Linked DNA regions of Neurospora crassa OR74A. Each later gene encodes a partner of the first gene's protein in a complex. Links are inferred from orthologs where the notes say so. Each region holds a gene or a part of one and is shown on either strand. Other genes may lie near its edges.

The links. The genes of interacting proteins can lie anywhere in the genome.
Region 2: the proteins of prk-10 (region 1) and NCU01471 are in contact, whole or in part, in a crystal structure (PDB 3T4N), measured with the Saccharomyces cerevisiae proteins. The link is inferred for Neurospora crassa OR74A from reciprocal best matches to the Saccharomyces cerevisiae genes SNF1 and SNF4. Residues at the interface, in NP_010765.3 of Saccharomyces cerevisiae: Ser465, Thr466, Val467, Ser468, Ile469, Leu470, Thr472, Ser473, Leu474, Pro475, Gln476, His478, Arg479, Met482, Ser487, Ala489, Ala490, Ile493, Ser494, Pro495, Leu496, Thr498, Lys499, Lys500, Ser501, Tyr550, Pro563, Gly588, Trp589, Ser608; in NP_011400.1 of Saccharomyces cerevisiae: Leu41, Val43, Leu58, Gln59, Ser61, Trp68, Ser70, Ser73, Phe75, Asp151, Gln152, Asp153, Glu154, Glu155, Thr156, Ile160, Met204, Leu232, Ile233, Asn234, Gly243, Lys246, Leu255, Gly258, Glu259, Leu261, Met262, Arg263, Arg264, Ser265.

What each region holds. Positions count from the first base shown.
Region 1 is NC_026505.1:1,659,181-1,664,946, forward strand, and holds the start of prk-10 (protein kinase SNF1), read right to left. Parts: upstream 3,733-5,766; 5' UTR 3,253-3,732; coding exon 2,837-3,252; intron 2,752-2,836; coding exon 1,916-2,751; intron 1,648-1,915; coding exon 1,006-1,647; intron 949-1,005; coding exon 674-948; 3' UTR 1-673. Other genes in the region: NCU11040 (DUF92 domain-containing protein), read right to left, coding at 4,380-5,342, 5,427-5,612. UniProt on the Saccharomyces cerevisiae protein: Serine/threonine protein kinase essential for release from glucose repression.
Region 2 is NC_026505.1:4,628,091-4,633,524, forward strand, and holds NCU01471 (nuclear protein SNF4), read right to left. Parts: upstream 3,710-5,434; 5' UTR 2,891-3,709; coding exon 2,624-2,890; intron 2,313-2,623; coding exon 2,189-2,312; intron 2,121-2,188; coding exon 1,971-2,120; intron 1,900-1,970; coding exon 1,235-1,899; 3' UTR 444-1,234; downstream 1-443. Other genes in the region: NCU01472 (hypothetical protein), read right to left, coding at 1-14, 76-155. UniProt on the Saccharomyces cerevisiae protein: Adenine nucleotides-binding subunit gamma of AMP-activated protein kinase (AMPK), an energy sensor protein kinase that plays a key role in regulating cellular energy metabolism.

The DNA of each region.
Region 1 (5,766 bases):
AGTTTCCGCACAAATATCTACAAGTAACTCATCTCGAAATCAGATTCAAGTCTATCTCCTCCCAATGGGTATCCCAAATAGCGTTCAACCACCATAGCTTGATCATTCTAATGCCAACCTTCAACATCATGACGGGCAGTCTGATATGTCTTTATAGGGGAAAAAAGGGGGGGAAAAAACGAAGCTTCCACGCTCCCAAGGCATCCCCAAGATGTGTAGATGCAGCATTAATGCCAATCCAACGGAACGAATGTGTGATACCGTGTCTTCCTCCACAGAGGGAAAGAGGCCTGATTTCAAAGCCAGTCTGGCACTGACAAACTCGACCATGAAAAGACTGCTGGTGCATGATGAGACATAGCATGGTATAGAAGAGAAAGGTGACGCCCGCCCCCATACTCTCTAAACGTAGGCGTATCTTGTTTGTCGAATTGCTTCCATGTAAAATAATCTTCCCAACCCGTACTGCGAATATTTCCTCCTGTTCAGCAAGTCAAGGAGCATTAGTCATGTTCGTTGATGGTGTCCAACAGTGTAGGCTGCGGTAAGTATATGCAAAGGGTACAAAGGTATCAGCAACGCATTAGCCAGAACTGAAGGCACGGAATCTGTGAAACAAAACCAAAGGCATGAACGTAGCGACCGCAAGCCATTAATTGATTGTCGGGGCACCTCAATCTGCGTCTGCCAACTGCATGATGAGTTTGGCCGCCATATCAAGGAAGGGGAAGGGGCTCGTGACTTCCTTATCCTCTAGAAGCTTTCCATCGGGGGTCTCGTACCCGTCTACCTTGAAATCGACAAGATAGACGCCGTGCTCCATTTCGTATATCTGAATCTCCATACGCATGGCCACAACCTGGTATTTGCTGTCGCTGCCATCCCGGCTAACATGCGTGTTCTCTCCTGCTTCGCTGAGGCCGGAGGCAACCGAATGCTTTTTGAGCTCTGACAGCCAATGTTAGCCAAACTTTGCCATTTGGGCCGGACAGACCGGAAACTCACTATCAGTTGTCCACCGAATCTTGATATGCCAGGGGTCCGCAGGAAGTCTATATGTCTTGGTGGGATCCATGCTGGATGATGACTTCTTGCGGGACCCGATACTAGGCCCATCATAGTCATCAGTGTCGTCATCGTCCCGGTGGGCTCTTTCGTAGTCTTCATCGACAATCCACCCAGCGCCAAGCTTGTTTAGCGCCTTGTAAATACACACCAGCGCCTCCCAAGGAGCGTTCCGGGATCGAATACCAAATTGCCATCGAGCAGGCTTGTTCTTCTTGGGCGGGTGGACGGGGGTAAGTCCTTGTGGGCGCTTGTTGGCCTCGTCAAGGCGAAGTTGACTCCTCGAATGTGGCTTGAGTCTTCGGATAGTCTCTTCTTGTTCAGCTTGGCTGCGCGGCTGATTTGCCGGCTCAACGATGGTGGGGATGGCATCAGGGGGCTCAAGACCTTCGGCCTTGGCCTTCTCTCGCTCCATAAAGACCCTGTGGTAGGTAGGAAGACTGCTAGGCAAAATACCGATCTTGCTGACATATGGCCGCGGTGAAGTTGCTGTGCTAACGGATGCGATCGAGCGAGCTGATGACATATTCGGGTCATGGAGCGGACTCGGGACAGACTCCTCTGTCGTGAGGCCTGGAATTTCTTCATCGGTTTTTAGTAGGGTATCCTGGTATTCCTCATTGGTGTTGCTCCAAAAGGACGATGGTCGCAAACTCAAGGATTTGCTTTTTTTTTGCGTCAAGCGATGTTCACCACTAGGCAAGTGTAAAATGGACGCCGAAGGAGGATGGGACGTGGCAAAATCAACTGCGAAAGAAGGACAAAACGGACGAGTATAGCATCGCAAAGGGATCGATAGGTTCCAATGATGAGAAGACAAAAGACTTGCTGGGAGGGAGCGTAGACTCACGGTTACTCTGCATCAGCTTGTTCTCACGCACGATCATGTAGGCATCTTTGATGGCCGAGGGTTCATCGGCCTCCAAGGCCTCTTCGACATCTCTCTTGCCGTAGCCCATGGTTTTACTGATCTTCTCCGTGACCTCATTATGCAACTTCTCCTGTTCCTGCGGAGGGGCATTTGGCGCAATGTCGCTAACCTTGATGGCCTTGTTGGGGTCCACGCCAGTATTGAGGAACTCCTCAACAGGAGGGTGAAGGTAAGCCGGCAGATCCTTGAGGAACCACGGGTCCTGGCGGATTTCGTCAATTGTGGCACGTTGAACAGGGTTGACAACCAACATCTTCTTGATTAGTGACGCCGCGCCGGGACTCATCCAGGTCGGCACCATGTAGCTTCCACGCGCAATTTTGGCAAAAAGACTGGGGATATGCTCGTCGTCGAAAGGGAGGCGCCCGACGAGTAGGACGTAAAGAATGACACCGCAACTCCAGACATCGACTTCGGGTCCTGCGTAAAGCTTGCCGCCAATGACCTCGGGAGCCGCGTAATTGGGAGAGCCGCAGCTGGTCTTGAGGAAATTACCGTCGGTCATGATATTGCTAAGACCAAAATCGGCAATTTTGACATTGAGATTATCGTCCAGCAAGAGGTTTTCGGGCTTTAGGTCGCGATGAACGATCTTGTGACGATGACAGTATTCGACGGCGCATAGCATCTGCTGAAAGAAGCGGCGGGCTTCGTCCTCCTTCATCTTTCCATGTTGAACAATGTAATCGAACAATTCGCCGCCGGCATACTCTAGCACCATGATGATCTCGGTTGGTGTTTTGATAACGGTGTACCTGGTATGCGCGCCGGGTTAGCCAACGTGTACGTAAAGGACCAGAGCCAACGTCTGCTGCGCATGGGCGTCGAGGGGTGCCTTACAGCTTGATGATATGGGGATGCCTTAGCAATTGAAGATACTCAATCTCGCGCTCTACGCGACCTTGCATGTCGCGGCTGATGAGCTTCTTGCGGGCGATGATCTTGAGAGCGACCTGCTGGCCGGTCATGCGATGGACAGCCAGCTTGACCTTTCCGAAGCTGCCTTCGCCGAGCGTCTTGACAATGTTATAGGCACCGATGCGCTGCTCGGTGCGCATCTTGTCGCGGAGGGGTGCGTCGGCCATGACGGCGTTGATATTAGGGTGTAATTGCTGACCGTGTTGACCGTATTCGTGGAGGTTGCCGGTACTGGGGCCGAAGCCTGATGCGCCATCGCCGGATCGCTTATTGCGACTTCGGATCTGAGAAGGAGACAAGGAGATGGAAAGCTCCTCGTCATCGTAGGCCTGTGCCATGGCAGACGGAGTCGCTTGCAACACAAGTGGACGACACTGAATCGCGGATGGAAGGTCGTTCGTTTCGTCTGACCAGATGTCGTCCGACTGGCTGGTGAAGAGGGTGAATGGGCAATGGAGGAACCGCGATGGTCCCTCGATTGAATCCTGGGAGCGGGAGCGAACAGACCCAAGAGGTTGGAGCTAATGAAGCTAGGGACGTCAAGTCAAGGCTCGGTGGGCTGTCTGTGTTGTAGCGTCGTCGGTCGATGTAAGGTACCGCCTTGCTTTGTTCAGGAGAACATCATGTATCGGATGCGCATTCGGTCGGTGTTCGGTTGTCAGCCGACAAGAATCAGCAATCGCGGTGGACGGGCAGCGCAGCGGGCAATCAAGTGGGTGTTGGAGCTGTTAGGTTCCATAGGAGGAAGTGGACAAGCGAACACTGCAGCGGGGCAACAATCCAGAGATGGTGTAATGGAAAACGGGGTGGAAGGAGTCGGGCGGGGATCTGGGGTGAAGAATGGGGGAATTAGTGGAGGAGTTGGAAGGATGCAGGGACGACAAACGGCAGCATCGCGGGGTCAGAGCGCTCCGGAAAGCGGCCACCTTAACTTAGGTACAACGGGGCTGCCGAGCCGGACGGAAAGTTCCATCATTCATCAGCTACTGTACCTACTTCATGTTTCGTTACTACCGCCTGGCTGGCCGAGGGGAGGTCATCCGGCTCGGTCACAGGACCATTGTCACAAGGCCGATAAAAGCCCTGTGTACGCCTATACGTGTCTACCACACATTATGGCCCAAAATGGTAGCAAGTCGAAATTACAAAGACTAGGTATACAACGTTCTCGTGTATAGAATACCAAAGGATTCAATTGTAAGCCAGGCTGGTCTTCGATCCCATGTACGGATCGCTGGTCTTGAATTGTGGATGTTTGGTACAATGAGAACCTCAATGGTCAATCGCGCCGGCTTTTGGTTAGCATCATCCGGATAGCGAGCAAGGTACCTGCCCAAGCTTCACCCAAAGCCGTGATCTGAATGTGTAATCAAAATGACGACTGAGCTCTCATATGTCATCCATGGAATTGTTTAGCTAGCCAACATCTCTAGCGAAAGTCATTCACCACCCACCTGCGACTGCCTTATGCCCACCATGGCGACAACACAGACTGCAGAGGAACTCCCCAATACCATGATGCGACGGCCATCGCTCCCACGCTCATGCCGAATGCCATCAAGAAGTTGACATCATTGTTATCAAGCAGGTCCCAGCCGTTCTCCACCACTCGCGACGGCCTCTCGTCTCCAAAGCTCGACCTCCGCTGCTTGTTGCGCGAATCGTACTTGTTACCGGCAGCGGCGCCGACATCCTCCACCGCATCCGTCCCCTCGCCAGACAGAAGAGACGACTTAATCTCAGCCTTAGTCCGACCGGCAACGTTGTTGGGGTTCGTAGCGTTGGTAACCAGTACCCTCACGCCACCCTCGCCCTCCACAATCTTGCCCGTACGCACATCCTTGACACTGGCCTGGAAGAGCCCGCCCAAAATGCTGTCCACAACGCTGCCCAAAAAACCCCAGACCGTGAGACCGAGAATCAGCATGCGGCGCTGTCCCAGTGACCAGCCCGCGGCACCGCCAAGTCTCGTAGCCGTCTCGTCAGTGCAAAGAGGCAGAAGAAGCATGGACGCCGTAACGATGATCATGCTGCCCAACAGGCCAGCGCCAAGACCGACGAGGGAAACGCCGCCGTTGGTGCCACGCGGTACCTTGCGCAAGTTCCAGCTTGTGATTAGGCGCGGCTCGCCCTTGGACAGAATGCCCAGCTCGGAGCTAAAGGTGTCGGCCGCAACACAGGCATAATTGGCAATGATACCAATCACCAACAAGTCGCCGCCCCAGGAGAAGCAAAGGCTACCGGTCCCTGTGCTGGTGGGATTAGCGATCAGCGTCTGCTTGCGCACATGCAGCTGATAAGCGTGGAGCAGAGAGAAGATGGAAGCCGTGAGCGAGTTGGCGAACACTTGGGTGTGATTTCTCGGGCCCTCGCCGCCGGACGTGCCCTTGGAGTGTACTGTGAGCTTGGCCTTGACGTTTTCCTTTACCTAGCCGGGGAAAGATGTCGATATTAGCTGTCAAAGTCCACGCCTAACTTGTGCCGCCCCTGGGTAGAGCTTCATCAGACTTACATGCGTTACCCGCGTTCCCGCCAGGAAGAACACGACGAGCAGAGCAAAGGGAAGATTCCAAGGGTGAACTGCGTGTGCGATGGCCGTAAGGAGAGCAGCAAAGATGCCGCCGGGTGTCAACGACTTCTTGGAGTAAGCCCTGTAACAGAGCGCCGCGATCGCGGGCACGGCAATTTCAACTCTCATGCTGCCGCTACAAATTTGGTGTATTTTTCTTGAGCGGGTTTTCGGTCGTAGGAGATGAGATTTGGTCTCTGATGTTGTTGTAGTTTCTCTCCCCAAAGAACGTTGTTTTTAGGCAAAATACAATGGCTATCTCATTGTTGCCGGCAATTCGTGC
Region 2 (5,434 bases), about 3.0 Mb from region 1:
AGGCGGAGCCCATGCTATAACCTCTAGTCAGTGGGCTTCTCAACACGAACAGTCGGAAGATGCGGGTTAGCTAACCTTGGCTGCGAGTCTATTGTACTCTCGCACAAAGTCTCCTCGATCTTGGAGTTCGTCTGCATCGGAGTAGCCTCCGACATCGCCACTGGATGATGTCCATGTCGCACTGCTTCTGCTCGCACGCCTATATGCCACAGGATCTGGAAGTCGGCCTGCCGTGGCGGATTGAGGGATACCGCGCCATGTACTTGACCTTTCATCTGTCTGCCCTCTCTTGGGTACGCGTCTGGGCAAGAGGCTCTTGGGGGTTGAGGGCGCACCGACCGATGCAACGGATGTCCGGTCGGTTTCGTAATGATAGTTTTGCATGCCTTCGTTCTTTTGGAGGATATACAGACGTCGAAACAAGTAAAAGAAGGTATCTGGGAGGCGATAGTACGACAAGATATCCAAAGTGACTGCAAACTGATGATGCTTTGTGAAAGCCCTCTAGAAAACTTAAGCCCAGAGCATGGATTGACGCATCGTGTCGTTTGTCGTAAACTGCTGCTTCCCGTATTCTCATGTCGCTCTTTGTGTCCAACCTGTTCCTTCCCGATGAGACTGATAACCCACCTAAGAGGTAGGTGGAGCAATGAATAGAAGAGACGGGAAACCAAGGAAGCAACGAAGCGACCAAGTGTCAGAGGAAGAAACAAAAAATGACAATCACAACCATCGCTGAGTCACCTTACTACACTGCCTAACAACTACCTAGATAGTAATTTATGGCCGACGCCATTGCGCTGGCTAAAACTCAAGGCGAGCACATTCTCATCTAGACCTGCCTCGTTGTCAGTTGAACATTCAAATACCTAGGTATCCATATCTACAAAGCAGGTAAATATGCTCACCACTACCTGAACATCACTACAGTACCGAAGTGACCACGTCAATCCAGTGCTGTACGGGGCAGGGTGGAATGGAAGAGGAATTTTAGAGCAGGACCACTAGTAAGCCATTGTTCAGCAATAACAGCACCTCCTCTTGCCGTGTTCCAGGATGAGAGAAGATTCCATCTATATGGCCCATCGAGGAGGTAAGAATATACGACCCTAGTGTTCCACTGATTCGACATACCCTCCAAAAACAAAAGCGCCATGCAATGCAAAACAAAACCATACCTTCCTATAGCCAACCTAAGGCCATGACAAGTGCCGCCCATTCTTCGTGTTCCCTTTTAATATTCCTGTAGGTCATCCTCTTCCTCGCCGTAGAGCAATACGTATTTGAGGATATCCGAGAGAGAGATGATTCCCTTGAGGCGGCTGTCATCGTCAACAACAATTAACCTATGTACTCGAGACTTTCGGATGGTTTCGAATATCGAGTCCAGGCGATCCTCTTCGCTGCACGTGTAAATGCCCCCGAAATCTTCAGCTCTCTGAGACAAGGCGTCGCCAACAGTCGCTGTCAGCTCGTCGTACGCACCCCCTTTGATACAGGGTATGACGTCGACGGCTTCAAATAGATTCATAACTCTGTTGTCCTTGTCGACAATTGGCACAGCCGAGATGTTGTACTTGACCATGAGGTGAATGACATCCAGAACGGAGCTGTTCATGTTCGCCGTAGCAAGGTCGGTGTAGGTTCCCAAGCCAATCTCCCTCACGGGCTTCTTTAGCAACATCGTGTGCTGCTCGTTGTTGACCGCGATGAACTTCAGGATGCGGTATTGTGTGATAACACTGACAACAGTCTCTCGGCCTGTCTCGTCGTCCGTGTCGATCAAGGGAATTCTCCGAGCTCGCGTTTTAAGCATTCGTCGACAGGCTTCGTACAATGGGCGCATGGGATGGACAGATACGGTCTCGAGCGGCAGAACACCAATGGCCCTTTCGATATCTACATGCATTACTCGTCAGCCTGACGCCCCGCAAGAGAGGACCTCGATAGTCCCTGATGATGGCACTCACCTCGAAGGCTACTCAGCCGAAATTGATCGACTTGATCGATTTCGTGGGGGAACTGGCAGTAATATTGGATGACATTGATGTAGTCAGTGCTAGTAAGCAAGCCAGCAAAGGTTCCGTTGCGCGAGTCCCAGAGCGGTGCCGAGACAATGCCTAAATGAGGACGGTCAGCATCACAATATCACCACACTGGCCAAGCTAGTTTTGCCTTGTAATCGTACCGTTTTGGATCAGAATATTGAGGCTCTTCCTGATAAGGAGATCGTTGTCGAGTATGACTAGGCGGAAGGAGAGCGGCAAGACATCGTAACTGGTGCGGACCTTGAGGAACTCGCGAATACCTCTCTGTTTGCATCAATGGTCAGTCAGCGACAAGCCCATGAACAAAGGCTGATTGTGTCTTGTGGTTTTCCTCTTCTTCTTTTCTTTTCTTTTTCTGCCAAGCTGCCTCCTTCGACGGCATATCATGAGCAAGGATTAGGGCCATGGACGCCGGCATCTCGCATAGAGGCCAACCGAGCCGGAAGAGTTCAACCGGACTAGATTGGCAGCGGCAGCTTGGGGCCATGGAATTTTCATGTGGATGGAAGTCAAGGGAGAATGGACTGATGGTAGGGAATATTATGGGTGTGCTGTCTCGGAATTGGGATGCTCACCAGACCCTGCATCTGGTCCTTGTCCAGGGGATTTGACGTCTTATCTGACATTGTGCGACTGCTTGGTTTGGGACGAAGGTAGGATGATGGCGCAACGAAAGGCAGCTCGTGACCAGGTCGGAGCGTCAATGGGCCATTGAGATTGGGATCGGTATTGCTGTTCCCAGCTGAGGCTGTGGAAGGTTGGGAAGCCTGGGGAGAAACACCGGCGGCATCACTGCCGGTACCAGAAGCCGCCTGGTCAGGGGGAGTACAAGAGTCGTCCATTATCGCGGTCGTGGAACATACATTGGGGAAGGACCCCCGTTGCAGTTCTGTCTTGCCCGGTACTTGGAGCTTTGCTTCCGTTGACGGAGTATGGACGCGCCGTCCACCCACAGTTTTCAACCGGTGTGATTAAGGCTCCGTTTCTATACTGATATCTTGGATATCCCCTCTCTTCCTTTCAGCCCCTTGACCGTGTCCTGTCCTGTTCCCTTGGTTCCGAATCCGTGGGCGGTCTCGGCTTTCGACGTCAATTGGATTTGACAGAGGTGAATAGTTGTGTGTAACTGCCGACCGCGAAGTGCAAAGTAACGAAGGCGGAGGGGCGTCGTTTGGATGAGAGCCAAGAGACGGAAAAAGAAGGGCAAGAAAGTTGAAGCGACCACGTAGTTGGATGACCTAGAGGTAGGTGGCAGTCGTCGCAAGTAGGAGGACTTGGGCGCAATCGACTACACTAAGATGGACGGGAATTAATACGGTAGCTGAATCTAGCCGTTCCTTTGTTGTATTCGGTCGACCCGTTCGGAGGCAAAATGGTGGATTCACCGCAACGGCAGTTTCGGCGGTGATGGACGGGATACTCGAGAGTGAAAGGGATGGTGATACTATAAAGCAGTGGTTCACTTGAATGTAGACGGAGCGGGCCAGAAGTCGGCGTTGACCAGGGAGTCGAGTTCTCCCTCCACTTAGGTTGCCAGAGCGCTACACAACAATGGAGCCTGTCACGGAGGAGGGGATGCTTGCTGCTTGCGCTGGGCCGGTTCCAGTTCCATTCCAGGTTTATCGGGCGTCGATGGGGTGTTTCGGTCTGGTTTAGGTAGGCAATCCCGGACCCGACCCCTCAGGTAATTTTGGTGCAAGGTGCTGGGCAGCGATAAGGACCCACACGTGTAGATAAAGCTTCTTTCGACCTTTGATTCGTGACCGAGACCGGCGTACATACTTGTACATCTTTAAAAGGTTGCTCTTCACTTTGATATGTACAATGTGTGTTGAGAGTGTCATCGCTTGGCAAATCATACACTTCCTAGGTTGTGTTTTGAACGGCTTCAAATCTGGAACAAGTACATGAAAGTTGACTTGAACAGTGGCAATCACTACTCCTTAGTGAACATGCCCTTCCTGCTCTGAACTCCTCTATCCTGTGTACCCTCCAACCATCTCGATACTATGTGCTGTGATGAAAGCCAACCGGGTCCTCTCTTCAAAGCCGTTGCTGAATGGAAAACAAAAGTAACTTACCAGCCTCTCGCGAGAGGAAGCCATGGTCATATAGGCTATGGTAAAAGCAAGAATATATCTTCCAGTGGTTCTGAATAAGGTGTCTAGAACTGCAACGTGCGTCTTGCGGAGTAAGATCTCCGATGTCTTTGCAAATATAAGATGTGGGAAGCGATGTCCATGTTTCAGATGTTGAACGTTCATCATGCTGTGTCAACATTCACCAACGCCAGGCTGCTCACGCCCACCTCCTATAGCTCCTTATGGTCATATAGCTGGCCAATTGAAGCAAGCCATTAACGTGCCACGATTCCATAAACGTGCCCAGGCCTAAAGAAAACAAATCAATCCGGGTGGCATGGCGATCAAAGAAATGAGATGACAAGATACGTATCTAACACCACCACGCTACTTCCGAACTTAACTGACACTCAACGGTCGTCACTGCATCAAGTCACTTTTTCGTCTTGAACGAAACACGGCACAGCGACCGGTAGATCCGTTAACAACCTAGTAGACCCCCAAATTCCCTTGTATGTACGACAGAGTACACGAATCGGGTATTCCCTGGTGCTGAGACACCACACATTCTTTGGGTCGGAGACAATGAAAGGTCAAAGGTCATGTACACTTCAGTTGCCGTATACAGAGTCACAGCCTGTGTGGTTGTGATAGTGGGTGAGGTGACTTGTTCTTGTGATGCGGCTGGACCAGGATACTACACTGGAGGACAGTACCTATTGAGAGTGGAAAGATCCGACAGGAGATACTACCCGCTGTTCGGCAAAGACAAAGACTCAAAAGCTCTAGAAAGAAAGGGAATGAATGATTGCAACCCATCAATGGAAACACCAAGTAGGTACCTACAGTATCTTCTACTCTACGCGCCTTCGTCCCTAATTTGGGTCCCTGGCAAGCCTGGATGGAGGATGGCGTCGTCGTTGTGGTGATGACATCAAATCCAGTGGCACCCTAGGTCGGGTCCAGTCGCAAGGAGCATCCACAACCGCAGGTGCCACCTCAGCGCACGACCCACTTTTCCCCCAGACGCCCGGGCTCTGGAAGCTGCCTCGCTGCCCTGCCCGTGTATGTGTAATGGTGCGCTCTGTGATTCGGGTCTCAGTGGCCAGGGCGCGATTGCGAGGCAGTGGCAGCTTCGACGCCGCTCACCCATCATTCATGCCTCTGCCGCCGGTCCCTGTTCAACAGATTTGCTCGCATTGATTAACAACAACGAAGGGCAGCAGCACCGGGGGCAAGGCAGCGTGATCCATATTGTCTGTCCGTGAGGTGTCCGTCGTGCTTCCATCCATTTCGCAACCAAGC